Linked DNA regions of Tamandua tetradactyla. The protein of the gene in region 3 binds, or shares a complex with, the protein of the main gene of each other region. Links are inferred from orthologs where the notes say so. Each region holds a gene or a part of one and is shown on either strand. Other genes may lie near its edges.

The links.
Region 1: DR1 (region 3) and TADA2A share a complex: the UniProt entries of both Homo sapiens proteins name them as parts of the ADA2A-containing complex. The link is inferred for Tamandua tetradactyla from reciprocal best matches to the Homo sapiens genes DR1 and TADA2A.
Region 2: DR1 (region 3) and MBIP share a complex: the UniProt entries of both Homo sapiens proteins name them as parts of the ADA2A-containing complex. The link is inferred for Tamandua tetradactyla from reciprocal best matches to the Homo sapiens genes DR1 and MBIP.
Region 4: DR1 (region 3) and SGF29 share a complex: the UniProt entries of both Homo sapiens proteins name them as parts of the ADA2A-containing complex. The link is inferred for Tamandua tetradactyla from reciprocal best matches to the Homo sapiens genes DR1 and SGF29.

The regions. Positions count from the first base shown.
Region 1 is NC_135332.1:44,823,880-44,830,726, forward strand, and holds the start of TADA2A (transcriptional adapter 2-alpha), read left to right. Parts: upstream 1-3,831; 5' UTR 3,832-3,912; exon of another isoform or gene 3,913-3,932; intron 3,933-4,680; exon of another isoform or gene 4,681-4,745; intron 4,746-5,951; 5' UTR 5,952-6,065; coding exon 6,066-6,090; intron 6,091-6,847. Other genes in the region: ACACA (acetyl-CoA carboxylase 1), read right to left, coding at 3,240-3,277. UniProt on the Homo sapiens protein: Component of the ATAC complex, a complex with histone acetyltransferase activity on histones H3 and H4. Required for the function of some acidic activation domains, which activate transcription from a distant site. Binds double-stranded DNA.
Region 2 is NC_135340.1:17,271,330-17,278,721, forward strand, and holds the start of MBIP (MAP3K12-binding inhibitory protein 1), read left to right. Parts: upstream 1-4,391; 5' UTR 4,392-4,482; coding exon 4,483-4,611; intron 4,612-7,392. UniProt on the Homo sapiens protein: Inhibits the MAP3K12 activity to induce the activation of the JNK/SAPK pathway. Component of the ATAC complex, a complex with histone acetyltransferase activity on histones H3 and H4.
Region 3 is NC_135337.1:30,527,759-30,535,366, reverse strand, and holds the start of DR1 (protein Dr1), read left to right. Parts: upstream 1-4,605; 5' UTR 4,606-5,419; coding exon 5,420-5,639; intron 5,640-7,608. UniProt on the Homo sapiens protein: The association of the DR1/DRAP1 heterodimer with TBP results in a functional repression of both activated and basal transcription of class II genes.
Region 4 is NC_135349.1:24,815,751-24,823,074, reverse strand, and holds the start of SGF29 (SAGA-associated factor 29), read left to right. Parts: upstream 1-4,320; 5' UTR 4,321-4,543; intron 4,544-4,985; 5' UTR 4,986-5,092; intron 5,093-5,118; exon of another isoform or gene 5,119-5,613; intron 5,614-7,324. Other genes in the region: NUPR1 (nuclear protein 1), read right to left, coding at 1,260-1,396, 1,852-1,966. UniProt on the Homo sapiens protein: Chromatin reader component of some histone acetyltransferase (HAT) SAGA-type complexes like the TFTC-HAT, ATAC or STAGA complexes.

The DNA.
Region 1 (6,847 bases), on a different chromosome or scaffold from region 3:
TGACGTTTCAAAGAAGACACCGACAGTCCTTGTCTTCAAGAAGCTCTAACTAAGGAAAACACACATCCAAACAAATAACTCTAATACAATTATACAGTTTCAGCCTTGACCTCTCCCCTGAGCTCCAGTTATCATCTTCACTTAGATTGCAAAACACAGACCCAAACCAGAACTTTAAATTTGTCTTCCAAATCTGTTCTTCCTTCGACACTTCCTTAATCACTTATCACTATTACTACTGTTTAACTTCTCCACATCTGTCTTAAGCACACTGACCAAACTGACTTACAATCTAATGAAGGCCTATCAACATGTGAAAAAGTAAAATAATTTCCAGGTGCTTGAATGCTGTTTTAAAAGAACAGATCTCATTATTATTCGGGACTTTTTTTTTCCCCACAATGGCACAACATCGATGACTCATATTCAGTTGACTGACAATTCTGACTTTCAGATTTTCATATACACCCTAGCCAGTCTCAAAAAAGTTTCAGGTTAGGTGAGAAAGGTACAAAGAATTTCCTGTCTGACCCTATCTCCAGCTTGTGGAGTAGGTGGGAGTGGTTGTAAAGGTTTAGGTGGAATGTCTACATTAATAAATTATCTGTTAAACAACTGCTGAATAAAAGCACAATTTATGCTTTAAAGGGCAGTTTTTATGCTTCTATTGTCTATTTTCCATGCAGCTGCCAGAGTGATCCTTTTAAAACAAATGCGATCACTCCTTTGCTCTTAGCATTCCATGGCATTCAATCACATCCTGATAGAATCCAAAGTCCATTATAGCTTATCAGATGATATACAACTGGGCTCCTGTTTGTGTTTTTCACCTTATCTCTTTAATTTGCTATATGTTACATTACAGTCCCACTGATCTCCTTGCTGTTTATCTAACATGCCAAGCAAGTCTTCCTATCTCAGTGACATTACACTTGCTGTGTCTCTTCTCTGAGAATAGTTTCCCTCTAGAAATCCATATACCTCTCTGTCTCTCACTAAATGATTGGATTTCTGTTTATGTGCCACCTCCATTGAGAGGTCTTCTCTGTCTACTTTAGCTAAAAGAGCACCCCCACATATCACTTCTGATATTTTTTTCATAGGCTATCCAAAGTATACAATCAATGGCTCACAATAATATCACATAGTTGCATAGTCATCACCATGATAATTTTTAGAACATGTGAATCACTCCAGAAAAAGAAATAAAAAGGAAAAATAAAAAATCCATACATCCATACCCCTTACCCCTCTTCTCACTGACCACTAGTATTGCCATCTACCCAATTTTTTTTTACCCTTTATCTCTCTCCAATTATTTATATATTTTTTGCCCTAATTTTTTAACTCATCTGCCCATACCTTGGATAAAGGGAGCATCAGCCACTAGGTTTTCACACTCACATGGTCATGTTGTAAAAGCTATATAGTTAAACAATCATCTTCAAGAGTCAAGGTTAAACAATTAAAAATAAAAAATAAATGAAAAAAAAAGAGTCAAGGCTACTGGGTGTCTGATGCTACTTTTATGCAGGGTATGGACAGATGAGTAAAAAATATGGATAAAAAATAAACAAATAATAGGGGGAACAAAGGTTAAAATAAATTGAGTAGACTGAAATACTAGTAGTCAGTGAGAGGGAGGGGTAAGGGGAATGGTATGTATGAGTTTTTCTTTTTATTTCTTTTACTGGAGAGATGCAAATGTTCAAAAAGATGATCGTGGTGATGAACACACAACTATGCGATGATATTGTGAGCTATTGATTGTACACCATGTACAGGATCGTTTGTATGTTTGCTTGTTAAGGTTTACAATAAGAATCAAGGCTACTAGAATACAGTTCAACAGTTTCAGGAACTTCCCTCTAGCCATTTCAATATACCACAAACGAAAAAGGGACATCTGTATAATGCATAACAACAACCTTCAGGATAACCTCTTGACTCTGTTTGAAATCTCTCAGCCACTAAAATTTTATTTTGTCTCATTTCTCTCTTCCCCTTTTGGTCAAGAAGGCTTTCTCAATACCATGATGCCAAAGTTCCAGCTCTGGGAGACATGTCCCACCTTGCCAGGGAGACTTACACTCCTGAGAGTTATGTCCCACGTAGTGGGGAGGGCAGTAAGTTCTACCTGCCAAATTGGGTTAGAGAGAAAGGCCATATCTGAGCAACAGAAGAGGTTCTCTGGGGATGACTCTTAGGCATAATTATAACTAGGCTTATCTTTTTCTTTGCAAAATAAGTTTCATACGAGTAAGTCCCAAAAGCGAAGGATCAGCCTATTAAACTGGTTATCCCCAATGCTTGTGAGAATATAAGGAATTCCCCAGATGGGGAAGTTTAATATTCCTTCCTTTCTCCCAGTCCTCCAAGGGTACTTTGCAAATACTTTTTTATTCTCTGCCTAAATTATTCTGGGATGTATCAGGGCATCACAATAACCTGCACAAACACACAAAATCTCACACCCTATTCAAGATTCCATTTTCCATAGAATTTACTACTTACCTGGCATTACTTATTATTTGGCAACATACCACCTGTATTGCTTATTGTCAAATTCCCCCCACTACACTATGAGCTCCATAAGGCAGAAATTATTTTTTGTCCACTATTAAATTCCCAGCACCTAGAGCAGTGTCTGTTCACTAACTAATTTTTCAAAGGAATGAGTAATAGATTTTCAGGATACATAAAATGTAAAACTATCTATAATATATTTGTTGTCCTCATGAATAGGAAAATGTCTGGAACGGCGCATATCAAAATGTTAATTGTTTATGGAATGTGGTGGGAGCTGAGTTTTACATTGTTTTTGCTCATATGGTTTTTTTTTTAACAATACATTTATATAACTTATCTAAAAAAATCAATAAAGAGTTAGCACAAGCAGAAAGTATAAATGAATTTCTGAAAGAGGTAGGGACAATTTATCAAAGACAGAGTTGTAAACAGATGTAACAGCATAACGGTTACGAAAAACCAGGATTTGAGTCCCCTTCTCCAACACTTCCTAGCAGTGTGATTCCAAGTTATTTATATGGCCAGAGCCTCAATTTCTTCACCTGTAAGATGAGGGTAACAATAATGCTTAACTCATAAGATTGTTTTTGCAGATTAAATGAGACAATGTGTGTAAACTGCTCTGTACAATGCCTGGCATGCAATAAGCACTGGACAAATAGTAGCTATTATAATAATTAGTAGTAGTAACAAGAGATGTTGGGACATACCTAGCCCTCAAGATTGACATCACTGTAGACCACTGCATCTCTCATTGCGCCTCAATTTGGGCTTCTGACGCACAAAGGGCGGATGGTTCTTTCCAAGGAAGAGAATTTCGACGTTCCAGAAGCATCTGATTAAAATGTACCTTGTTCATCCTTTAAACCTTTGAGTCTGGTTAATCCATGAGCACCACTCCGAGACCTGAATTCCAGAGGTGGCCAGTGCTCGTCGTCCTTAGCCCCAGTCACTTAGCCTCAGTTTCCCTGGCTGCAACCGGAGTGGTAGGTGGGAATGCTAAAAACAAAACAGTACCGGCCCAGTCCACCTCGCCGCCCTGTGGAAGGGATCAAACGTCACCCGGCGATGGGAAGCCTGTAGCGACCGGCCAAGTGCCACGCGGCAGTCAGCGAACACTGGTCGGACTCAAAAGTCTAACAAGCTGCTCAACTCCATCCTTCCAGTCCTCAACTAGGGTGGCCGCGACTAGGCCGGCTAGGAAGCAAAAAGCTCCGTGGCGACCGCAGAAGGGGCGGAGGCGCCGGGGAGGAGCTGGGAGGCGGCGGCGGGCGGGCGGCACGCGGCGCACTCCCGTCGGCGCCGCCCGGGAGCGAGCACGCAGGCCGGGGGGCGTGCACGCGGACTGCGACTGCAGGGCGCAGAGGAGGGGGACGCAGAGAGGTGAGGCGCGATGCACCGTGGTGGGTCCAGCGGGCTGGCGGGCGCAAGCCCCTCTAGCTGAACGTGGAGGGGGTGCGGGCACAGCAAGGGCGGCGGGGGGGAAGGGGCCGGCCGACTGCGACGACGGCGCCCAGGAAGGTGCGCGGGTGAGTGGTTCGGAGCCACGCTGCGTGAGGGGGTGAGAGCGGTGCGGTCCCGGCCTGACTCATCGCGGCCCCGCCCCGCGCCTGGCGCTTCCCGCCCTCGGTTTTCCTGTCTCAGCAATGGAGCGCACAACGCTAATAATAGCAGTCACTGTGTGCTCTGTCCCTGATCCACGTTACCCCATCGGATTTTCAAGTAGGCCTCACAAGGTGATAGCTTAGCTCCAATTTGAAGCTGAGAACTGAGCGAGGCTCAGGTAAAATGATTTACCTAAGATCGTACAGTTAGTAAGGAAAAAGTGAGAATTTGAACCCATATCTGCAAAACTCCCATTCTTCACCCTTCCTCTCCACCACACTGAAGCTCGTCGCTTGTAGTTACCTTCCTGTCCTCAGAGAGATGTGTCAGAAATGTGGTATTTTGTGAGAAGCAAGCAAGCAGGAGAAGACAACTCTGCTTATTGCAGTACTTTATGATGTAGGGTGTGCAGAAAGCTCATGGTTTATCAGACTATTGCACGCATCCTTTACCTGACTGTTCTGTTAACTTCAGTTTAAAATGGCACGGCTGTTAATATCTGTAAGACGTTGTGCAAGGAACATCATCTTTGTTTCCTTTCCTTAGAAAAAGGAACGTGCCTTAGGAGGTTGCAGGATTCAAAGAGATAATCCACTTGCAGTGATACCAAGGTACATGGCATATGGGAAAAGCTCCGTAAATCTCAAGTTCTGTTTCATAACTGAGTGCATAAAACCCCTTGCTAAACTCATTTTTCTTCTAAGATCAGTTTTTCCTGGGACTATAGCAGAAGGAGGTGACCCCACCCCTCCCAAAATAAAAGTTTATTGACTGCTATGTTATCTGACTGTTGCCTACACGTTAATGAAGTCATCCCCAGGGTAGAAATACCAAGGTGAAAGAAATCACTCTAAGAACAAAAGATATGAATCGGCTTATTGTATACTAACATTTTCTTGTCCATTCCACATCCATTTATTTTCTTCAATGTGTGTGGCATGGTGCTTAGTACTTAAAGTTTGTACGTAGTATTACCACGTGTATGTTAGATTTAGTCCCTGCTTTAATTTCATACAGAAGTGGGAAAAAAAAAAAACAGATTCAGAAGTTATTGTCAGAAAGTAAAATGTGGAAAATGCCAGAAAAGCAATAGCATAAAGGCATGATGTTCCTTGATTCAGCAAGTGGAAAATGTGTTCATTTCTGCCTTTAAGGACTATAAGTTGAACATACCTATTAAATATTTGTTGAAAGAATAAATGAGTGAACAAATTAATGCTACATTAGTTAGGATTCCTTGGTTTGTAGTAAAAGAAACTCATTCAAATTCAAGTTTTATTGGAAAGGTAAGAGTGTTGAGGGAGTTGGGCTGCTCTCGGGATCTCAACAATGGGACCGAATTCTTTGACTGGTGAATGACTGATCTCCACCTGTCTTCAGTCCTTGCCTGTCTTACTCAAAATTCATATTTCTGTAAGAAGAGATCTGGTTGTTTTAGCTTGTTTAGGGAAGGTGGATGAAGTACTGTGATTGGCATCCCTACCAGAGTCAGATGTGGGGGCATCAGTTCTCCAAAGGGAAGAGAGCTAAAGGAGAGAAGTGACGTTTATTATAACTATGTAGCATTATAGGCCATGAATTGTCCTCGTTTTATATATGGATTTGACATTTGGTTATGATTTTTAACACCAATTCTAGGAGGTAGATACTATTGTATCACACACCATTTTCAGAAGAATAAAGGTTTATAGTTTAAAATAATTAGCTCAGCATTACAAAGCTACGATGTCATAGAGCTGAATACGCTGCATTATTTTCTCTTTATTTGTCCCTTTTGATTATATCCTTATCCATGTGCCACTTATGTTGGTTCATAGGTACTCATCAAACTTTGCTGTGTATGATCACAACAAGCTTTGTTGGCCAGATTGAGATCTTGAAGGAGCTCTACATTAAGGACGATCAAAGCAGCAGTCTCTGCCAATTGGAGAATGGACCGTTTGGGTTCCTTTAGCAGTAAGTACAATGAAACAAGTCCTAGATGAATATTTAACAGCATACTGAAGTGGAATTTGATCAAGGAAGAAAAGTGAACACTTTGAAGTTAAGCAGTAAAACTCTGTGAATCTGACCCTGAAGGAATTAAAATAGTATCAAATCAAGATAAAAAAACAACCAATTCTTATCAGTTGCCCAATGAATATATGCTATGAACATATCACTCTGGGTCTTGTAAGAAAACTACCCTGAGATACACCAGGCTTACTATCTATCCTGTTGTTAGATTTTAAAAAGCAGTGGGGTTTCTCTTTAGAACCAATAGCATGCTTCAGTTGCCAAGAGAAATAATATCAAAAAAAAAAAAGGAAAGAAAGAGAGAATGTCAGTGGTAGGAATAAAGGAAATGCCTGGGTGGCTACCCAGCCCTGCCTTTTTTTTGTGGAACTTGTGTTCTAAGAGTAAACCATGATTTAAAAAGAAACTGAACAGAGAATTGTGGTATATGTATGAAATAAATTCAGATAACCACAAGCTATGGAGAAAAAAAAACACTGCCGTTTCTGTGATTCTGACAATGAAAGGTTTGGCAGAAATAGCAGTACCGTTGTTGGATGATTAGTATTGTACCAACGAGAAGAATCGGAAGGCATTTTTTGGTTATATTTCTTCTTCAGTGATTTCTTAAAGAAGCTCCAAGTTTATTTTCTACCCGCATTCCCTTTATGGAATATTTATAAGTTTAGGGAAGAATGGAATCTTCAAGCACATCTAG
Region 2 (7,392 bases), on a different chromosome or scaffold from region 3:
GATTACAATTACAAGTATGTTAACAGATAGATATTGTCCTTTAGTATATTGATGTCCTGTATCCATGAACTTGCCAAATAAGCCTCATCATGTCCTCTTTGAGACATCAATAGCAGCTGAGCAGTACCCTCTCCTCTGAGGATTCCATAGGGCTATTCTTGTAAGCTCATAAATTTTAACAATTCCAAACTTTTCTTTTCGTTCTCCAAGCTCTATAGAGATTAACTGCTTCCTCTATGCTATTTTATTATTCTTTGTTTCCTTTTCAGTTAGTTGACTTATTCTAACTAATAAGTTTTATAATAAACTTTCTCCGTTCAAATAACAGATACGGTTTCTATTTCCTGACTGTCTTGGTATGGGGAATTTCAGTAAGCAAAACTTCAAAGATCGAATGTTGTGATTGGTTTAGTTGCTTCCATGGGCTTGACCACATGCTGAGTTCCTTGCTAATGGGAAGGAGAATGGAGATAATCCATTGAATAAGATGGCATCACAATTAGTCCATCATTACCTGTAACGTTTCTCCAATTTATTTGATAATAGAACCTCTCCTTAAAAGAACTATCTTCTGATTAGCATTCTGCAGAACAAATTGTGGAAAGTGCTGGCTTATACTACCCTATGCAATGAAACCTCCCTAAATACATCAAGCATGCTCAAGTTGCTGCTCATAATGTTTTCTGTAAATTGAGAATTCCTATTCATTGTTTGAGGCACAATCTGTTTTACCCTAATTGTTTATAGCTTTTCCTGACATCAAACACCAACCCCTTTCCCAATGGAATTAATTGGCTGTATTACTTTATACATACCCTAATACGGTCATTCTCACATTATATCATAGTCTTTTGTTTACATATCTGCCTATCTCACTAGAATTGGAACTCTTTGAGGCAAGGCTCTTGTCTGATTCATCTTTGCACCCCCCAATGCCTATGAGAAAGCCAGTCATACGGTGGATAGAATTAATTTGCAAGGACATCACTGAGGAGAATGGTTATGGGGGATAGCTAAATTTATTCAGTCAAGAAAAATTTGAGCACTTTGAATTTGCTTCCCTAGGTTTATGCTTCATTACTTAAAGCAAACTGTTTATAGTATTCTTTTTATGTATCAAAATTTTCACCCAAGAGTAGAAATTACTTCTCCCTCCCCCCATTTCACAAATCTGTTCACCTTAGGCAGGCAAATAAATTCAGTTCAACAAGCATATACCGAGCAACTGCTCTCTGCAAGGAACTATGGAAAGCCTTAGGTACAGGAACACGATACATATAAACACTCCTAGTCCAATCAGGAGATAGTCATGTATTCAAACAAATTTCTATGTTAATGTGGTAAATACGATAATAAGCACAAAATAAAATGATAAGTACATACAAACAAGTTGCAGGAATAGTTTAGCAGAGGAGACAATACACTCTTTATGAAGAGGGATATGAGGAAAGCCTTCCTAAAGAGGGTAATTTCTGGACTGGGGTTTGAAGATTTCTGAACTCCTATTTGAATAGGACGTTTCCAAATAGACAAAAGCAAAAGGCATGAATAAAGGCATGGAGGCAAGAAACAGCAGAATTTTGATGAAGTAACAGCAGACTGGGGAGTATTAAGTAACAAAGTTTGTAGCAAAAAACGAGGTAAGATATAGGCAACAGTCATATCATGAGAAGGGCCTTAGAGGCCATGCTAAAGGCACTGGGATTTACCCAGCAGGTGATGGGGAACCAGAGAAGGCAAATACCATTTGTTTTGCTTTTTCTGCATTAGGGAAAATCTGTTATCATCATTCATTCAACAAACATCTGTTAAAACACATTTAATAATTCAGGCATTTTACTAGGCACTGTTGTATTTAATAGAATTATGCCTTTAAAGCTTGTCATAAAAGACATTTTTGTTGATGAGGTAGTGTTTTATTTTCCTAGATGCCAAAACAAATATCATAAAATGGAGTGGCTTAAACAATGGGAATTTACTGGCTCAGGGTTTTGAAGGGAGGAGAAGCCTAAACTGAGGCTACAGCAAGGCAATGCTTTCTCCCTAAAGACTGTGGCATTCGGGGCTGATACCAGTGATCATTGGTCCTTGGCTTTTCCGCCACATGACAATGAAAATGACGATGTCTTTTCTTCTCCTCCAGTTTCTTTGACTTGTGATTGCTCTGTCCTGATTTCTACTTTGTGGACTTCTCTGTAAAGCCTCCAGTAGTAGGATTAAGACCCATCCTGATTCAGCGGGGCCACACCTTAACTGAAGTAACCTCATCAAATGGTCCTCTTTACAATGGGGTCATACCCACAGGAACGTATTAAGATTAAGACAAGTACATAGCCTAATTGTCATATATATATAATTTCTATCCTGCTCAATTGATTCTTGGCATAAACTTGCAGAATCATATTTATAACTCTGTAGCTAATGCCAAAATCAATATTTTTGAATCATTTCTGCCAAGCAGCAGATTTTTTAGTAAACCACGTCATAATCCATAGTTTTCTATAAATGGCAATTTTTTTCTTTATTCCTTTTCTAAATTGCATAGCTTTTATTTATTTATTTCTGTTATACATTAATATCTATCAATTTCTGCTTAAATTTAGGCAAAAGGAACCCACATCTTTTCAGTCTACAAACTCTTCTATTCAAAATGGAATTTCCTATTATAAAATAAAAAAAGAGAGAAAAAAAAAATTCCAAAATGCAGATAATAGGCTTCAGGAAGCAGTAGGAAAGGAAGAAGAAATAAGTCACAAAAGAATTAACAAATTCCAAATATTATGTAGGTAAACAATACAAGATACAAATGGACATCTAGATATCAAAAGAGAATTGCATTGAGAGATGAGATAGTATGAATCAAATGGCCATCAGTTAATTCTGTGGTAGAGAAACTTGAAACTTCAAAATCAGTTATGGCAAAGAGAAGAATGAGCAGCACTTGTTAAAGATGCGTGTTCACAAATGTCTTTCATACCAGTGTCCTGAATATTTGAAAAAATTCTTCACACCTAGATGACAGCAAATGATCTGATACTGCTTGCTAATCTACGTGATACTGGTTTGTAATTTGCCACAGAAACCAAACTTGTAGTTACTCAATCGCAAGTATTTTCCATTAAAAGTAGAATCAGAGGCTAACATTATAAAAAACTATAAATTTGGGGATAAGTGGTTTGAATGAGATTTGCTCAATTTAGGATTAGATATTGTGATATATTTTCTGGATGTCTCTAGACATAGGCTGGACTATCAGTTGTATATTTTGTCAGCTAATAAGGAAACAGACAAGATTTCTGAAGATCCTATAGAAGTCTGATGATTCCACAAATCCTTGGAAATGAAAACCTAAATAAGAGGCTCCCTAGAGATAGGTCAAAGGGTTTTTTTTTTAATCCCTACTGTCCTTATCCCAGTTTCTAGATACCTTATTTCTTCTCCTTTCATTCAGCCTACTCTAAAACTGAAGAATATACAATGTGCAAGTTTCCACCATTGTTTCCTTTACTGTAAATGGGTTAGAGTAGAATTAGGAGTTTAAAAAAATCCCCCTTTATCTCCAAACTGATAGATTTTTTTTTTTGGTGTTTTTGAATAGAACCTTACATAAAAATTCCTCTAAAATTTGTTTTTTTCAATTGGAGAACCAAAAATTTTTTTCTAAGTGTTAGCCTTTTTAAAAAAGATTAGAGTCCTTCAAACCTCATTGTAATAAAGCTATCTGATAAATTTTAATTTCTCCTTCTATTTTCAAAGATTGTACTGCGTGGAAATACTTGTAAGTTCATCCATTTGAAACAATTTTAGGGTTGAGCATCTCTACCGTATCACCCAGATAATAGCAACCGATGCCACGTTTTAAAACCTGAAAAATTATTCCGCAGATTTAAAGTCGTTAATGTCATTCCCTTGATAGTTACAGGCATAAAAGAACACTTTCATTGTTCGTGTAACCCGCACGAAAAATTATAGAGTTAATTTGTTGTAATTTTTAAACAGCTTGTGAAGATGAGAAAATTCTACCCTGAGCATGATTCCGTGAGAAAGACCGTTTCTCAAACTCCATCCCCGACCAGATACTTCTCCAGACTACAAACGCCACGTTAAAATGTCAACTTATTTTGGAGCTCAAATTCTAACAGTTAACAATTCTCCTTTTGCCAACACTCATAAACATGAATTAAGCTAGGTATTATGGTGCTAACCCTCGAAAGAACCACGGCTCCTACCGCCGTCCGACACACAGCAACCAGCCTCGCGCAGGTCAGCAACCGCCGGCTCCCAGCCGAGGAAGTAAGGCTACAGCGGCTGATCACGTGATTGGTGCCCGTACTTGTCAGTCACATTGAGAGGGTGGGGAGCCAAAAATCCCGAGCGAAAAGAGACGCGGTGGTTTACGTCATCGCAGAGCGACGAAAGCTGGAGAAGGAGGGGGATAGCTTGCGTACTTTGGTGGTGGTGGGGGCGGCCTGCGAAAGTGTCATGGCTGCTGCCGCGGAGCTTAGTCTCCCAAGCAGCGGTGACAGGAGCTTGGAGCAGAACTGCAGCCTCAGCCTCTCCCGCGAAGTGCTCTGCGAAATCTTTGGCTCTCTGTGCACCCTGGCTGGACAGGTAAGTGGCGGCCTGGGGGAACAGGGGTTTGGGGACCATCGTGCGCCCCCCCAACCCCTTTTTCCCTCTAGCGGAGGGCGGGGACCGCCGGGGCCTGCGGGCCTGTGGGGCTTGTGGGACTCTTGACAGGGTAGCGGATTCCTGGGGAGAAGCCCGAGTCCAGCCGCGTCCGGTCGGAGGGAGGAGAACGCAGCACAGGCTTAGTTTAGAACTGGTTGCAGATGGGATTTCCTGTTAACTGTGATCTCCAAAAGTGAGTGAGGATGCTGTATGAAAATCCAGCTCCAGGGAGGAGCTGGCTTGGCTTGGTCGGAGAGTAAAAATTCGGAAAAGCTGCTCTAAGTCTTTGGGAGACACCTGGCGCTCAGGTCCTCTTTTTCTCCAATTCATTTTTAGAAGTTGTTTGGTCATTGCGGCCTGAGATTCTGGAAACGCGCTCTCTTTGCCTTTATTGAGTGGTTTACTCTTATGAGTCACTTGGTTTTGTTATTTGCTTTTTCCTTCTGGCCGTCGTGTGCATCTCTTACCCTTTTGAACGAAGAGGAGAATAAAAGGAATAAATCTAAAGTACTTCTAGCGTAAAATTGGGTGGGTTGTCCATTATTGATGCTGTTTACATCAGACCTGTTGTTTAACTATTAATTAGTTTAACTGGCTGACAAATAGCTTTTGCATGAATGTCATGGTAAAAGTGGATTTGGAAAAACTGGGCTCTTCAAACTATTCGGATCAACTTGCTATTTGATTTCATTGTCTATCGTTCAAAGTAAATTTTAAATGAAAAACAACTTGAAAATGTTAGCCTGCTTTTTAAAAGGACATACTTTCTTTTATATCTTAGAATATTTTGTAGCTATAAAAATTTGTTCTGGGACTGGTACTAGTGCATATAGTGAATTAGACACCGCAGACATTTTTTTTTTGTTGAGGGAAATGGTGGATTTCTATAAAAATAGAGTGTGATTTGTGAAAATTATTTTTAAAAGCCTTAAGTATACGGAGAATAAATGTTTTAAAATGGTATTTCACTATTTAAAAAAATTCTAGTATGTATTTCATGACTTACAAAGTTAAACCTTCAGTTTGCTGTAATGGAACAATTTATTGATGGAATCTGCAAAAAGGCATAATGTAACTTTTAAACCCATTTGTTTGCCAAAAACTCACCGAAAAAAATGTTTTTAAAGACTTGGGACTTTTGATTAATTATTGTTAACATTGTAAATGCTTTAACAGTTAAGAGAACCTTTTATTTTTAAGATGTGGACATTGGAACTTTTTGGAAGTTTATTTACATTCTAATGTTAGGATGAAAAAAGTATGCTATCTTGTTATTACAGAAGATGTTTTTGTTTCAATGATGAATAGTTTTAAAAATTAACATTGAGACATGATTTAAACATTTCTTTTGAAATATTTTGCATACTGAATTTTTCAAACATTTAGAAATTTAAACATTCAGGTATTCTGTAGAGATAGGTAGAGATGTGATTAAAATATACTGTGTTACGTATTAAAAACGTTCAGAGTAAATATTTGGTGAATTTGCCTGACCCAGTGAAGGGATCTTCTATACAAGTGTCAGAAAATAAGATTGTCTGATCAGTTAAACTATACTTTGATAATTCTGTTTATATTTCGAGATGTATTGTCTAAAGATTAGAATAGAAACAGAGTACTATATTTATAAAAATCATGTTGAGGGAATAGCTATTTCAAACTTTTGCAACGTGTTTAGAGGATTTTTAAAATGTATGCCATATATGTCTTAAGTTCATTCTGTATAGTTGTTGTAGTATTAGTTTTCCTCAATGGGAAGCATAAAATTAAATGTTAAACAGTATTTTATACTCCTAGATTGCAAAATTTACGAATTTTAACCTTATTGCTTGCCTCTAAATGGCCCATTTTACCTCACTAAGGAATTATTTATTGTTAACTTAGATTTTCATATTAATTTTAATAAAGTTTTAACTGAAAATTCATATTTATATGGTCTATAGATTGATTTATTCTTACAAATTATATAGGATAAAATGTGTAGAAATTGTTTTACTAATAGAGGATTTGTTGAATGAATAATTGGATCTGTTGGGATAGTTTTAAAGTTAATATGTGACATTTGTATTTGGTTTTCCTAAAAGACCAAGTTCCTTAATTGCACTTGAAGGCTCATATAATTCGGTTGAATTGAAATGAGGATATGATTCAAACATTTAGATTTATTTTCTATATCTAGAAAATTTGATGCTTTGCTTTGGTTGAGGATTTGCCTGCTTTATCTTCAGCTGTTTTCAGAAATTTGCTATAATCAGCAATAGATATCTTCAAGGACTGTGAAAGTATAGGAATAGCTTAGTTCCAACATAACCAATTGCTATATAATGAAAGCTTTATAGACATCAAAATAATAAAAATTAGGGGGAATTCATCTTTGCCAGTGCAACCTACATAAAACTTCATTATTTGTTTACACTTGTCTAATACTGACTTGAGATTTTTCTGGTCTCATGTTCAAAGTGCAGTAAATTTCTGCCATGCAGTATTCATTCAGTCTAGTGCCTTTTTATTGGTAACTTTGGATATCTGGTTCCTTGTACAAGGAGGATTTATCTTTTTGTTATATACAGAACTTATAAAATCTGTTTGTGAACTCATGCAGCACTTACTTTATTTTGTAGAAAACATGACTGACTTTTTATCAAAGATTTTGGATAAATTAATATAATTAAGTTGTATGTACCGTATGTTGTATTTTTATAGTGTGCTGTAAAGACCTGC
Region 3 (7,608 bases):
CTCCTTGTCTTTCCCCATTCCCATTCATCCACATGTTATCCCAGACTAATCTTTTTAAACATTTTTATTGTCATCCTCCTTCCCAAAAATGTGCACTAGCTCTTCCCATTGCCTACAGAAGAAACTCCACATTCCTTAATATAATGTTGGAAAGAGCTTAGGCTTTGGAGTACGAAAGCTTGGGTTGCATTCCCAATCTGTCATTTACTTCTGACCTTGAATAAACTCACTAAATATTGATTCTCTGATCTATAAAATGGTAATGCTAACTAGTTACAAACAGTAAATTCATGTAAAAGTGCTCTGTATTTTTAAAGTGTTATAATGAATGTAACTTTTTCTCTCTTGCTAAAATTTAGAGATAGTTACTACACTGAAAAAAAATAGCCTCAGCTTTGGACTTGAAAAACAAAACAAACAAAACAACCAGATCTCATATTCCAGTTCCATCACTTATTATGTGTGAAACTTTGAACAAATTAGTCAACTTCTCTGAAATTGTTTCTCCACCATCAAAACATCTGTTTTGTAGAGGTATAGGAGAAATGAAATGAAATTTTGACTATGGACATTTCTAGCACAGTTTGTCATTCATAATAGCACTGATTTATTTTTTGTCCTAATTTACCTTTTCAGCATCTGATACCACTATAACGGTTCACGATCTATAAACAGAGCCACTCTAAGCAATACTTTTGTGTTTTTTCTTCAGCTGTATGCCCTTTTCTTCTATATCAAATTCTACTCCATTTTGAAGTCTCAGTTAAAATGTTGAGTCCTGCATATAGCCTTATGTAACTCACACTGTGTCAATCACCATTTCCTCTGCAAATCTTTAGCTTTTTTCTTTATAGCATTTAGTTTCAAGCTGGTTTATAGTCTGCTTTCCCTGAAAACAAGTAGAGTGTTGTGTTTATCTTATTTCTCCCTTACCATAGTTAGGATAGTAGAACTCAGTTATCGAATGAATATAGGAATCAGAGGCTGCCTATCTTCTTCCCATTGCCTAAAGGACATCCCTCCCTTAAATGCCTATTGTTGCTTCAAACCCAAACACGTACAAAAGGAGGCATGTTGTCTCCTCTAAACTGCTTCCTTTCAACTTGGCCGTTTTTGTCAGTGACACTACCCTAATCCTTAATTCCAGTCTCTGAGGCTAAAACTTTATAATTTTGTTTGACTAATCTGTTTCTTTCACTAAGGAAGAACCAAATTTGCAGGTTCTTCCATCTTTTTCTGTGAACTGGTTTTTTGTTTCACTCTATTATTCCTATGACTAATAATTATCAGTGTAATGATTATTTTTAACAACCACCATCATTTATTGAGCATTTAAGTTCTCAGTTACTTTGTATACATTATGTCATTTGATCTTTGAAACAACCCTGTGAAGCAGGTATTCTTATTCTTATTTTATAGGTGAGAAAAATCAAGACACAGACTAAATACTCTGCCCAAGGTTACATAGCTGGTTAAATGGTAGCTTAAATACAAATCTAAGGCTAAAGTCCTTGAATAAGTTGGTCTCTTTCAAGTTGCAGAAAACAAAACAGTGTTTAAGAAGGGTATTAAATTATAAAGACACACAGGAAATAAAGAAGCAAAGGAAACTGTTTCATAGAGGCCTACTGATTCTTTCAAAAGTGCATACATCAATACTCTAGCATTCCACTATTTTGTTGGGATATATGACAGAGGCATTTGCTCCCCTATACTTGAGAAGACAGCTTTTGTTCTAGCTTCTGTTGCCCTTGTTACAACTGATTTAGCTTCTCACTCCTCTCCCTCTATTTCTGGTTTCTATTGCCTCACGATTTCTGCTGCCTTTTATCTTTGGCTTTCACACTTCTAATAAACAAAAATAATGCTTTGCTTCAATTAGGGCCATCTCCTCACTGTTGCCAGAATAATTTGTCTCCACAACTTCGAATTGTTACTTTAAACACAAATACTTTTTTCCTTTCTCTCTACCTATCGAAAATTTACATTTCAAGGCTCCTTCAATACTTCTTCCCAAATGTTTCAATGCATACTTGAGTGACTACTATGAGAAAAGTCCCCTTGCTGACCCTTCATGAACCCACAGCATGAGGAATAAATAAATCTGTTGGGATGTGGGAGCTATTCCAAACTCATTCTTTATGGCTAGTGTTACCTCGATACCAAAACCAGAGAAAGACCAATATATTTTATGATATATATGCAAAAATCCTCAACAAAACACTAGCAAACTGAATCCAGTAATATATAAAGAAAATTATATTCTTTGACTAAGTGAGATTTATCCCAGGGATACAAGGTTGGTTTTACACTTGAAAATCATTTTAATGTAATACATTATATCAACAAAATAAAAAGCAAAAATCACAGTCATCTGAAGAGATGCATAAAAAGCAAGTTATTTAGCCCCTCGGAGTTACTTTCTTTATCTGTAAAACTGGAATTTAAACAGTCCCTATCAAGTAAGATTGCTGTGAGAATTAAATGAGATAATATGGGTACAAGTATTTAGCACAGTGCTAAGCACAAAAGAAGTATGTTATGCTTCAAATTACAAATATTACGGATCTACCATTGTCACTAATTTTAGCTGAAGACCTGGGCATCTAAGAAATAACACATTTTAAGATAACTATTTAAATCATCATAAAAAAATAATGCATTATGCTATCATGTTTCTGTTCATATCATGAATTTGGTGATACCATAAAAAAAATGTCCCATTTATGTGCACTATCTCTTAAACTCTTAAAGCTTATTAAGGAGATGTTATCCTTGTTCTCAAAAGCCTATAAATATCCCTATAAGTAAATACTTAAATATGGAATCCAGAGCAGCATATTTCCTGACATACCACATTGCTATTTATATTTAATAAAATTTTCTCTCAGCATATTATATAGGGTTTCTTCCTGGTTGAAACTGCCCCTTAACCGAGACCTGATAAAAGTGACAGTAAACCCTAACATTTATATAATGCTTATTACATATAGCATATATAATATATGCTATAATATATAAAGTAAAAAGTATTTCCACATACAGTCATACTTGACTGGAATCCTGTGAATTATATATCTCATTTTTTCTTGAAGAATATGAGGCCAAGAAAGTGACCTACCTAAAGTAACAAAAAGGCCGAGACGAACCTAGATTTCTTCTCTACATATTCCACGTTCATTATGGCTGTAGTAACAAACTACTACTGAAATAACAACTTAAAATGCATGCTCTATTGATCTACATAACATACGTCTCTAAGTCTACACAGCATAAGTGTTATATGAAAAGGCACTATTTTCTTTTTTAGGAGAGACAAAATATGGGCCAGTGACAATGATATCTCTGGGGACTGATAAAATTAATAAGTCCATGGTTTGTAAGATTAATATAAGGCCAAATTTAGATGACATAACTCTTTAAACGAATAGCAAACTAAATTACAAAAACCGTTTCGGGAAAACGTTACCTCTGAGCCAACATTTTCACATTCCTACTTTGAATTTTAAAATATTGTTAAATCAAAAAAATTTTGTTTTGACTAAACTTACTAGAACTGAAAAACAAGTGTTCACACTTAAAAAATGAAGGAACAGGCAAGTGTCCAGGAAAAAATGCTAAACGAAGAAATGATAAACGTAAGATCCCTTAGAGGTGCCACATCTAGAGTTTTCAGACAGAAACAAAACGTTTTTAAAAATATTCCAAATAACCAGCCGCCGCGCAGTATATATAAAACAACGTATTTGATGCACTAAATCGCCAAAACTGATTTAAATAGTACCTCATTTACATTATAGAAATTGCAATATTCCACTATTTATAATGTAGTCTCTTCGTTCAAATGACAGTACAATAAATTTGGTTTCTAAAAATAACACATTTTTTGTGAAGAACTCGACACCTGTAGAGATAAGCAAATATCAGAGTTGCTTAAGATACTCTTAACATACATTTTTTTCCCTCCAGAAGCCAGCGTGCAATACATTATGAAAAACGGCTATGTTGGAACGATGACTCGTACGCTAAGCATTTCCACTACAGTGGGTCTGACTTCTAGTTTCCAGTTTAGCCTCAAGTTGTGACTAGCCAAGCCTCCTCTCTGAATATCTCCTTTCCCATAAAACGAGAAAGTGGGTGGAAGACCATACAGCGCTTTGATTCGACTAACAACTATCAGACATTTTCAAAAGCTTTCCCTCGCACGGTGCAGGTACATGATGTTCAATCTATCCCACCTCCTCATACCGAGCCCAGGCCCCGTTCCTTTCCCCTTCAAGCTCAAACACGTCTCCTTAAAGAAAAGTAGAGAGTTCTTTTAACGAAATCTACAGCTCCTTTGTTCCCAAAGACGGCTGCGGCAGCGTTTCGAGGCCGCAGAAGGTTGAGAGAAGGCAGAGGCGAAGAGACTGAGTTTCCTCTCGCCCACCCACTCCAATTCCTGTCCAGTGCCCAACCCCGAAGAAAGCGCGTGCGCAGGTTCCCCGGTACCGCGATACGCGCGCGCCTGCCCAGCAGCGGACCCCACGAAGGGGCAGGATGCCCGGGCGCGTGCAAGGCCCGCAAGAAGCGGAAGCTGCTGGCAGCGAGAACAGGCGGTTCCCGCCGGCGCTGGTGGGGGAAGGGCGGCAGCTACACCCGGAAGTCGGTATGGGAGAGAGGGGGAAGCTGGTGTGGGCAGAGGCTTCCGGTGGTGCAAAGGGTGTCGGGAGCGGCTCCCAGCAAGCCTTCCTTGGCGTCTAGAGGGGCCGCCGTCGCTGCAGCTTGGGCTTCCAAGATCTTCGTTCGGGCTAAACGGTCACGGCGGCCGCCACTGAGATCCCCCCGTTCCTGACTTTGTCCGTATTCTTGTCGAGGCAGCCGCCTCAATTTCAGCAGCGGCCTCGGCCGACATGTTGTGAAAGCGGCGCCGGTATCTGAAGGATGGTTTGGCAGAGGCGGCAGCAACGGCTGCTGGCGGCGGCGGGGGCTCAGGCTCTGTAGAGCCGAGCCCGCTGGGTGTCCGCCCTGTACCGCGGCGAGGCCAGTGCCCCTGGATCTTGCCTCTACTCCGGCGCCGTTGGCGGCCGGCTGGTTAAGCGACAGCGCTCGCCCCTCCGAGGAGACACGGAGGTGGTTCCCCAGCCGTTCAAATTTCCGGACCACGCCGAGCTTTCCTTTCCCCGGCCCGGGCAGTGCTGCCTGCAGAATCTTCAGCCCCCCGACTTTCCTCCCAACCTCGCCCTAAATCTCACATACTCTGGTGTTCCCAACCCTCTCAAGCCAGCTCCTCTCCTTCCCTTCCTGCTTTTTGAACCCTGTTCTCCAAGCGCCCCTCGGGGTTACTCTCCAGGGCGGCCTTTTGAGAAATTCCGTGAAGTAGTGTACCGGAGCCGGGGAGTTGTTTTTAAAGTCGGGGCGCGAGAAATAGGAAGGTACGATGGCTTCTTCATCTGGCAATGATGATGATCTCACTATACCTCGAGCTGCTATCAATAAGATGATCAAAGAGACTCTTCCCAGTGTCCGGGTGGCCAACGATGCCCGGGAGCTGGTGGTGAACTGCTGCACTGAATTCATTCACCTTATATCTTCTGAAGCCAATGAGATTTGCAACAAATCGGAAAAGAAGACCATTTCACCAGAGCATGTCATACAAGGTAAGTCGCATGTGTGAGATTTGATTTAAATGAGGGTGGGGGTGGGGCGTGCAGTCTGCTAGTTGCATGGCCGGTTCGTGTCAAAGCCTTCCAGTCCTCTTCACCGGTAAATGAAAAAGCCACCGGGATATGAAAGCAGCTTGTGCCTTATGAAAATCTTGTTGTCTTGCGGTACTTTTCATCCAGCGAATACACGTAAAGATTGCAAGCAATTAGGCCATTTTAAAAGCCCCAAAAGATAAAGTATTAATAGTGGTCTGAATTTACAACCAGATAAGCTGAAGCAGCAAGAACTGCCTGCCCAAAGTTGAACGTAGGAAAATAACCCAGTAATTTTACCTTGGAAAGTTAAAATTCAGCCAGAGGAACTTAAAACATGAGTTAAAAACAGAGCTCATCTTTCACCCTTGTAGAGGGAGAGATTGATATTCTGAACACATAAATTTAAAAAATTATTAACACGAATATGTTCAATATTGTAAAGCTTATTGGTGTTGAAAAAAGGAAGGACTTATGTTTTCAACTTTAAAAATTGTTTGATGGTCCTACATTCATTGTTACCAAAGTACTTCTTACCAAAGTAAGAAAAGTGAGTGCTTTTTAATTTTTCTTTTTGTGTATATGTTTGTTTTTATGTAGCTTGCTTTGTTCACTGGAGATAGGTTTGAATGTAACGAAAAGCTTGTTTTGAAAGGTTATAAGAGATTTTTTTCGTGAAACATTTCACCGTCATTTCCTGCTGCCATTCCCTTTTAGATGTATAGGCTTACACTTTCATTGAACAGCATTTGTGAAAGTTTTGGGTTTCTTCTCTTTTATCTTGGAAGGCATCTAGTCCAGTAATAGGAATTTAGGGGAGCATATTTTGATGGTTTTGGACATCAGGAGGCATAATGTCGTAATGTTTTGGCAGGCACTTTCTGTAATGTTTACATCGTACTTCTATGCACAAAGTTGTTTTCAATTTAAGGTAATAACTTGCCCTTTGTAATAATTTAATTTAAATTCTGACAATCTCTTGCTTGCTTTTGAAGTTGGGGGGAAAAAGCCATGATTAATTTTAATCATTTTGTTAGGCAGATAGTTACCTACCATTTCATTTTTATAACTTAATTTCTTTTAATTAGAAAAGTTGTAGGTTTATAGAAAACTCATGCATAAAATACAATTCCCATATACTACCTTATTGTTAGCATCTTGTATAACTTAACTTTAAAAGGCAACTTTTCTGCTATACTAAAGTAGAGTACACATCTGCACATGTTCACCATTTACATTATTTTACCATCAATATTGATAAAAAGGATTAAATGATTCATTTTTTATCGTTAATGGTGTATTGAAGGTTGATTTGAAATATATCCTGCAATTCAAGTCCATACAGAAAAAAATCCCTAGGAAGAAGCATATTTGATTCTTTTTTTTTTTTTCGTATTTGATTCTTAAAGCTAATAGTTTTAGGTTTTTTCCTACTGTTTTGGTGTGCTGAATAGTCTAGCAAGTAAAAATGAAAGCCAAATTATCTATATTTTTACATTTTATGTGTGATGCTTCCATACAGTCTTTCACAAGGTTTATCTAACACAACCATAATTTCCTTTTGCAGTTCATAAAAAAGAAAAAGGATACTTTATCAACATTGCCTTTCTAATGAAAATTGAAAACGATTTCAGCAGAATCTGCCTAAATATTTGTTTACACTACAGAAGTGGGGATCATTCCAAAAATCTAACACACATTATAATCTTTCTTAGGGAGTTTATTCTATTCTAGGATATATTTAGATTTCTGATTGACACATTGGAATAAAAAGGCAGCTGTAGCAAACTGTATGCTAAATAGTTCAATTTTGAAATATGCTAAATTCAGTTTAATGCATGAGTTGGAAAATTACAGTGAAAAAGCATTTTCCTTTTTGTACTGAAATTAATTTGTTAATTAAAAAAATGAAGTATTGACCTGTTTTAGA
Region 4 (7,324 bases), on a different chromosome or scaffold from region 3:
CCTCTAGCTCATCCTGTATATCCTCTTAGCTCCAAACACACTCCTTATTTGCACTCTATTCTTCCCCTAACTGCTTCTGAGGCTGCTAGCACCGAGTGAGACTCGTCCTTCCCAGCTGGTCTCCGGGAACCCAGTCCCAGCAGCTCCCCGGACAAGGAGACCTACCTCTTGCAGACAGACTAAAACTCCTTGAACCTGAGCTCTGAATCTTTTAGTGTCTTAAATCTCAGTTTTCTCTACCTTGTAGATAGCACCCATAAATAGCATGTCCTTCAAAAGTGGTTGTTCTCGAGCACAACATAAACAAAAGATTGTTATTCAGTGAACCTGTGGGAAGCGGGAGGGGTGTGTTTCCTGGGCAGCATTGCAGAGAAACAGGAAATTCCCTGCACCCAATCAGAAACCACAAAAGGTACCCACCAAAACACAGCTGGCAGGAGCGGGCCATATAAAAACAGGAATACGCCCAAATCCACACACCAAATATGGACCCACAAAAAGTGCTCTCTCATCAGTTCATGCAAATGCTGACCGAGGCAGGCAGAGACGTGTCCCAACAAAAACGCGCAGAGGGGAGGATAAAACCACACAAGCTGTAGCTGCCGTACTTGATCTCTTTATTGTCGCCTCTGCCCTGGGGGAGCTCTGGTTTCTCCAGCGTCTTTCCCTTTTGGGGGGCCCCTCCCTGACTCTGCCTGTCCATTCCCTGTCTTTTGCTCCCATTTTGCCATTTTTGGGGGGTCTGGGGTGCCCCCTTGGTGGCCCTGAGAGCTTTGGTTAGGTGGGTGAGTTCTGGGGGTGGGGAGGGGGACAAGCCGGCCTGGGTCCTGCCCCCAGGCCCTAATTCCTCCGTGGTCTGGTCTCCGTAGTTCTGTCTCCGTTGCTGGTGTTGTGGGGTCCGTGCTCTGGTTTCACCTGGGGTGGGGGAGGGACGGGAAAGCACGTGGTAAAAGGGCCCGAGACTCAGGTTCTAATTCTGTCTTCCTTGCTCATTTGCTCTGTTGACTCCAGACACCTGCCCAGCTGTCTCTGGGCTTTCATTTCTCTAGTTGTAAACCAAATTTCCCTCCAATTGGAAAGGTTCTGTTTCCCTTTTCGTTCTGGCCGCTAGGAAATTCAGAGCCAAAGGTGTGTCTCCTCTTCCCGTGAGAGCCCAGGAGCGCTGCAGACCCCTCCTCCCCCAGGCCGGGACCAGGCGCCTGCTGGCTGCCTCTGGGAGGCAGAAGGAACCCCGCTGACTCCTCACCTCCAGCTCGGCCTCAGGGTCGGGCCCCTCGCTTTTTCCGCTCTGCATTCTGGAGCTTGGTCACCAGTTTCCTCTCGTGCCCGCCGGGGCTGGGGCGGTTGGTGTTGGCGGCCGCTTCCCTCTTGGTGCGTCCTTTCCGACCTCCCCCTCCTGGAAACCAAGGCAGGAGTCAGAGGCGAGGGGGGCTGAGGCAGCTGTGGGGTCTCAGGGGAGAGTGGGGACCCACTGAGTCCCCACTTTGTGGGGTGGGGGGCAGGTGCTCGGGCTGGATACAGAAGACGGGGGGCTGGTCACCACGAGCTGGGGACAGTCCCAGGCCCCTGTCAGCTTGTTTCCCTATCTTGGGAAACGTGGGGTGCTTGGCGGCTCTGTGGTTGCTCCAGTATTCTGTGTTGTGAGGCCCTGGAGTCCAGTGTATGGGGGATCAGGAGGGGGTGACTTGGGGGCCCCAGGCTGACCTGAGGGTCAAGGGATTAGGTTGGGTGGACAAGGGCAAGGGGTGGGGAGAAGCCCAAGGAGGGGACCTAGTTCAAGGAGGTCAGACCGTTTGCAGGGGGCCAGGGATGGAAGTGGAGGGGCAGGAAGATGGCGGGGCCGGGCCTTACCCAGGTGGAAGTGGCTCAGGCCGTAGAGGTCGTGCTCATCCAGGTGAGCCTCGTCCTCCTCAGGCCCCAGCGGCTGCTGGGATGGGCTGGCTGCTGGCGGGAAGGTGGCCGTCATGGCCTCTGACCCTCACCGTCCCTGTCTCCTCTCTCGTCCTCTTCTAGAGCTCTGTTTGTCTGTGTCTGGTTCCCCTCCCAGGCGCCTCTCCCCTCCCCGTTTATAAGGCCGTGTCTCTGCCTCAGCCTTGTCTGGCTGCCATCCCTCGGGCCCTGGCTGATGCAATCTGGCCCTTTCCCAGAACCTGGCCCAGTAAACACAAGTCACGAGAGTTGGGTCCGTAAGCCCTGGCCCCCCCCACCCTCTCCTCCACCGGGGCTCGCCCAGCTGGGTGTTTTTCCACAGAGGAGATCCCCGCCCCTCGGGGAGGAGGGGAAAGGGGGCAGGGTCTGGGCACAGACAGTCCTTGGAATCAGGGCCAGGGGGGCATGAGGGTCTCTCCCGTGCTGCCTCCTTCCTGTCTGCCGCCCCCTCTCTGCCCCTGTGCCCCTCCTGGCCTGGGGTCCGTGACCACATAGCTCACTCCACCCCTTTCCCCCCCATTCTGGCTTAGATTCAGGGCCTGAATAGCAGCACATGGAGTGGGGGTTATATCCAGATGCGCCCTTCCCAGTTCAATCCCACTTCCTTTGTGTTCCTACTGTGTGCTGGGTTCATGCCCCCAACCCCTTTTTTACTAGAAGTTCCTTAGGGCACTAGGTAAGTGCCCTCACCTGACAGTATGGCTTACAGATGGTTAAGTGTGCAGATCTTGGAGCCAGATGCCCTGGGTTCAAACTCCTGTTCCAATTCCACTACTTCCTGTGTGACCTTGGATAAGTCACTCAAACGCTCTGGGGCTGTTTCTCCTCTATAAATTGAGGTTGATAAAGAATTCTATCTACCACAAAAGTTGGTGTGCAGATTAAATGAACATATGGGAAGGAATTTAGAACAGTGCCTGGTGCAGTATGGAGGACTATATAAGGGTTAGTCACATAATTTCAAAACTAAAATCAACATAATACTCTAACTAGAACTCAAAGGAGAAAAAAAGGAAATTTATAATAAGATAATACGTATTCCAAAATATGGATATGACTGAGGTAGATATTGGTGTCTACTTATTATTAATTACATGAACTTAAGGAAAGAGTTTGGATAAGAAACATGTGAAAATAGAATATTCCACTCTTGCCTGAAAGTTCTGTATCTTGCTGACCCAGAGAAGGTGCAGCCTCAGTTGCCCACTCAGGTTTCCCCTGAGGCTGGTATACCAACTCCCAGCACCTGTCATCCAGGGGCAGGGAACTGGATGGACAGGAAATTCCATTTACTCCTTTTTAATTAAAAAAAAACAAAACCTCTGCAATCTCCAGTGAAACAGCCCTTCTCAGCCCAGGCCAGATGCTAGCCTGTGCACACACACCCACTTTGCTTTGAGCCTATCAAAAACCCTGTTCCATTTCAGTGTTAACCTAAACTGCCTCCTTCCCCTAAATCCTGTAATAACCCAGCCTCCTCCTCTGTTTAACAAGCAGCAACACTTCTGCTTGTGTTTCTCCCTTGCCTGAGCCAGAATTAAATTTAGCTCGTTTCCCAGATTTGGGTGATCTGTGAGTTTTTTAACACACGGGAAACGAAACTGCGGACGGGAGGACACAAGGGGAAAAAAACAGGGTTGGGATGACCATAAGGTCCCAGATGACAGGAAGAGGGAACTAACCCTAGTAAAGACAACACAAGCTAACGAGCCTTGATGTGGAGAAAATGAGAAAACGAGGTGTTCTTGCCAAGGGACGGGCTTTATCACTAGGTGTGGTAGCAGAACCCTCCCCTGTAACATGGAGTTAGGCTCTGCGTTTGGGAAATTACCAGCCTGTGTCTGCGTTTCACCTTCCTGAATGTCTAGCAGGGCAGGGCACCCCAGTGCGCTGTGGGGACTCTCCTGCTTGGCCCAGCCCTTTGAGCCTCTTGGACCCCACTTGCTAGAAGCTAGCGTGGTCTCCTGTCCCCGCGACAACCATGCCAACATGGTCAGTCGAGCAGGTGACACTGGCCCTGGTGAGGAGCGGGTCCACCAGGCCTGGCCGGATTCTGCCTGTGAGATCTCAGGCCCCCGTCTGCGTCCGTTCCCTCGCCTGGGATGTGACGAAAACAACAGCACCCACCGTGGGTGCCTTAGCCCTGAGCCAGGCACCAGCACTGCTATTACCCCCACTCTGCGAAGAAGGGAGACCCGGGCTCAGGGTGTGGGCTGCTCAGGGCTGCAGGGCTGGTGAGCGGGGAGTGGGGGTGGGGCCTCCTCGCAGTCTACCTGCCCCCCGCCCCCCCCCAGCGCTCTCTGGGGGTTGGCACTGCTGGACAAACGCTGGCAAAGCCCTGGCCCGCTGTGTGTGTGGAGGCACCTGGCAGGATCCCTTCCCTCCTCCACAAGCTGTCATTAAAGCCGGCCTTGGGCCAGGTCCTGTGCTGAGGGGCGGCCATGCCCTCCGGAAGCTCGGTGGGGTGGGGAGGTGGCCTCCAGCCCAGCAGGGCACACCCCTGTGGAAAACACCACACAGAGCCCCTGTGTGGGGCTCTATAAAGGTAGTCTTTATTCCATTAACCTGACTTGATGTGACTTTCGTCACAGCCTTCCGTGATTGCTGACTGAAGGTATCCTTTTTGTTTACTTCTCCATTATTTGTTTCCACTAGAATGCAACTGCTGGGTTTAGGTTAGTTAGCAGCTGAAGGAGTAGGCTCTGGAGCCGGAATCTCTGGGTCTAAAGCTTGGTTCTGCCACTTGTCAGTAGTGTTGCCTTAGACAAAGTTATTTGGTCTTTCTGTAACTCAGTTTCCTCATTTGTCAAAAGGGATCCATAATGGTATCTACCTCGTGGGGTTGGCTGTGAGGTTTAAAGACTAATTCTTAACAAAGGCTTACCACACGCCTAAGACATAGTAGACATTCAATAAATGTTAGCTACTGTTATCATTATTCATTAGAATAGGAATCTTGTCTGTCTTATAATGCATTATCGATGGCTGGCAAAGAGTCAGTGTCAGCTGAATACATGAAGTTATGCTGAGATCAGTATTGCTTGTTCAACTTTCAGATGCTCTGCTCTGCAGGAACTGCGAGGCCCAACCCTAGTCCCACAGAGCCCATGAAGACATTGTGACTGTCCTCCGTGGAGCCTGGGACTTGGCCCTGACCTTGCAGGTGCTGGAGGAGAGAACAGACTCTAGCATGGGAGTGGTTGGAGGAAGGGCAGCCAAGTGAGAAGGGAATCCATTCAAGACGGACCCTGTGGGGCCTAAGAGTGACTCAGTGGGAAAAGTCAAGATGTGTGTTTTCCCAGCCTCTCGCCTCCAGGTGTATATATAATTAGCTACCAGGAAGTTTATTTTTCTCTGCTTGTGACTGTACCTTTATGACATTCCATGTGGTTGCCAAGCACACCTATTATATAACCCATACTGGATTATAATATACTGAGCAAAAACACAGGGGGCTGGGAGAATTCCCTGGATGGATGTGGGGGGTGTGAAATCAGGGCAGACATCCTAGAGGTGGTGAAGCTTGAACAAGAATGGTGATTTGTGGGAAAGACTGCAAGAAATGCCCAACTCCAGGAGTTATACCACCCAAATCAAGAAAGTTGGATGGCCTGGCGGTATGTGGAAGTCACTAGCTCAGAGGATGTGAAGCTTCCCAGGCCAAAGGCAGGGTGTGCCATCAAGGTGGGTCAGTGCCACTGCTGTACACCAAGGGAATGTTTAAATAAGGTGAAACAGGATGTATCTGTCTGCCCTTCGGTCCTGGTCAGAGATGCCCTCAAACCCGGAAGCTGTGTTGGAATTTTTCTTAGTATGGTATCATCATTTTAAAAATAAATGGATGCAATCTTCCAATGGGCAGTATTGCTAAGAATGGTAAATGTACTACTGACTCCTTGATATTGGAGCCTGACTTCCAGGAGTCTTTTACAGAAAGACTTCCAGGTGAAATAAAGATGCAGGTACAAGGATGTTGACTGTAGCCTTGTTTGCAGTGGTGAAAAGCAGGAAGCAAAGTGTCCCAGTGGGGGACTCATCAGCCTCCTTCTGTGAAATACTCTGTAGCCATTAAAAATAAGCTCTCTCTCTAGCTCTGATGAGAAAGGGGTCCACAATACATTGTTAGGTTAAAAAAAAAGCCAGTTGTAGATATGCATGTATACTAGGATCCTACTTCTGTAAGAAAAATTATTTCAGTTATTGAAAACAAAAATGGGAAGTGGGATGTGTACCAAACTCTCCATAGTGGTTATATCCCAGGCTGAGATTATGGAAAGTTTTTACTTTCTCCATTATAGATTCTATACCTCTGCAATGTTTGAATTTTTCACAATGTATGCTTATTTTATAAGCGGGGGGGGGGGGGGAAGCAATTTCAAGAGTGAACTCAGGTTTTCCCCTTCCTGCCTTGGATTCATGCATACAATGCCACCTTCTGGTCATGATGTGGCTCCTTGTGTACCTGTTGGGACAAAACCCACTGAATCTGAGCATTTCCCATTTCCCTCCCTGCCTGCCAAGGGAAGTAAGGTCGTAAGGGAGAGTCTTTTTTTTTTTTTTTTTTTTAAACTGTGAAATGAAACATATATACAAAGAAAAGAAAGAAAAAGCAGTAATTTTCAAAGTACACTTGAACAAGTAGTTACAGAACAGATTTCAGAGTTTCTGATGAGTTACCATTCCATTATTTCAGATTTTTCCTTCTAGCTGTTCCAAAACATTGAAAACTGGAAGAAATTTCAGTACAGTGACTCAGCAGCCAAACTTGTTTGTTAAATCCTATTTTCTCTGTTACAATTCCTCCTTCTCCTCTGATCCTTCTCCCAATCTATAGGGATCTTTGGGCAATGCTTGTTCTGACTTTTTCACATTGAAAAGGGGTGTTGACACTAAAGGACAGGGGGATGTAATTAGTTGATAATCTTGGAGAGGCTGGTACCTCTGGGTTTTAGGATTTATCTGGCTTAGGAGCCTTCTGGATATTATAGGTACCAGGAAAGCAAACTTTGTGCCTGAAACTTTTATAGAGGCTCAGTTTGAGCCCTAGGTGTTCTTAAGAGTTAATAAGAGTGATGTTGGCTGGGGTTTAGCAAACCCTGGCAATCAGCACTACCAAACTGAAGCTTGCAAAAGAGTAGCCTCCGAATAGTCTGTTGTCTCCATCTGATATCTATTAGCCATTGACGCCTTATTTTATTACACTTTGTTTCCCCCTTTTGGTCAGGAAGGTGTTGTAGATCTCAGGGTGCCAGGGCAAGACATCCCCAGGAGTCATGCCCCACATTGTCAAGGAGACTTTTACCCCTGAATGTCATGTATGGGGGAGGGTAATGATTTTCCTTACAGAGCTGGGCTTAGAGAGAAAGCCACATCTGAGCAACAAAAGAGGTCTCCT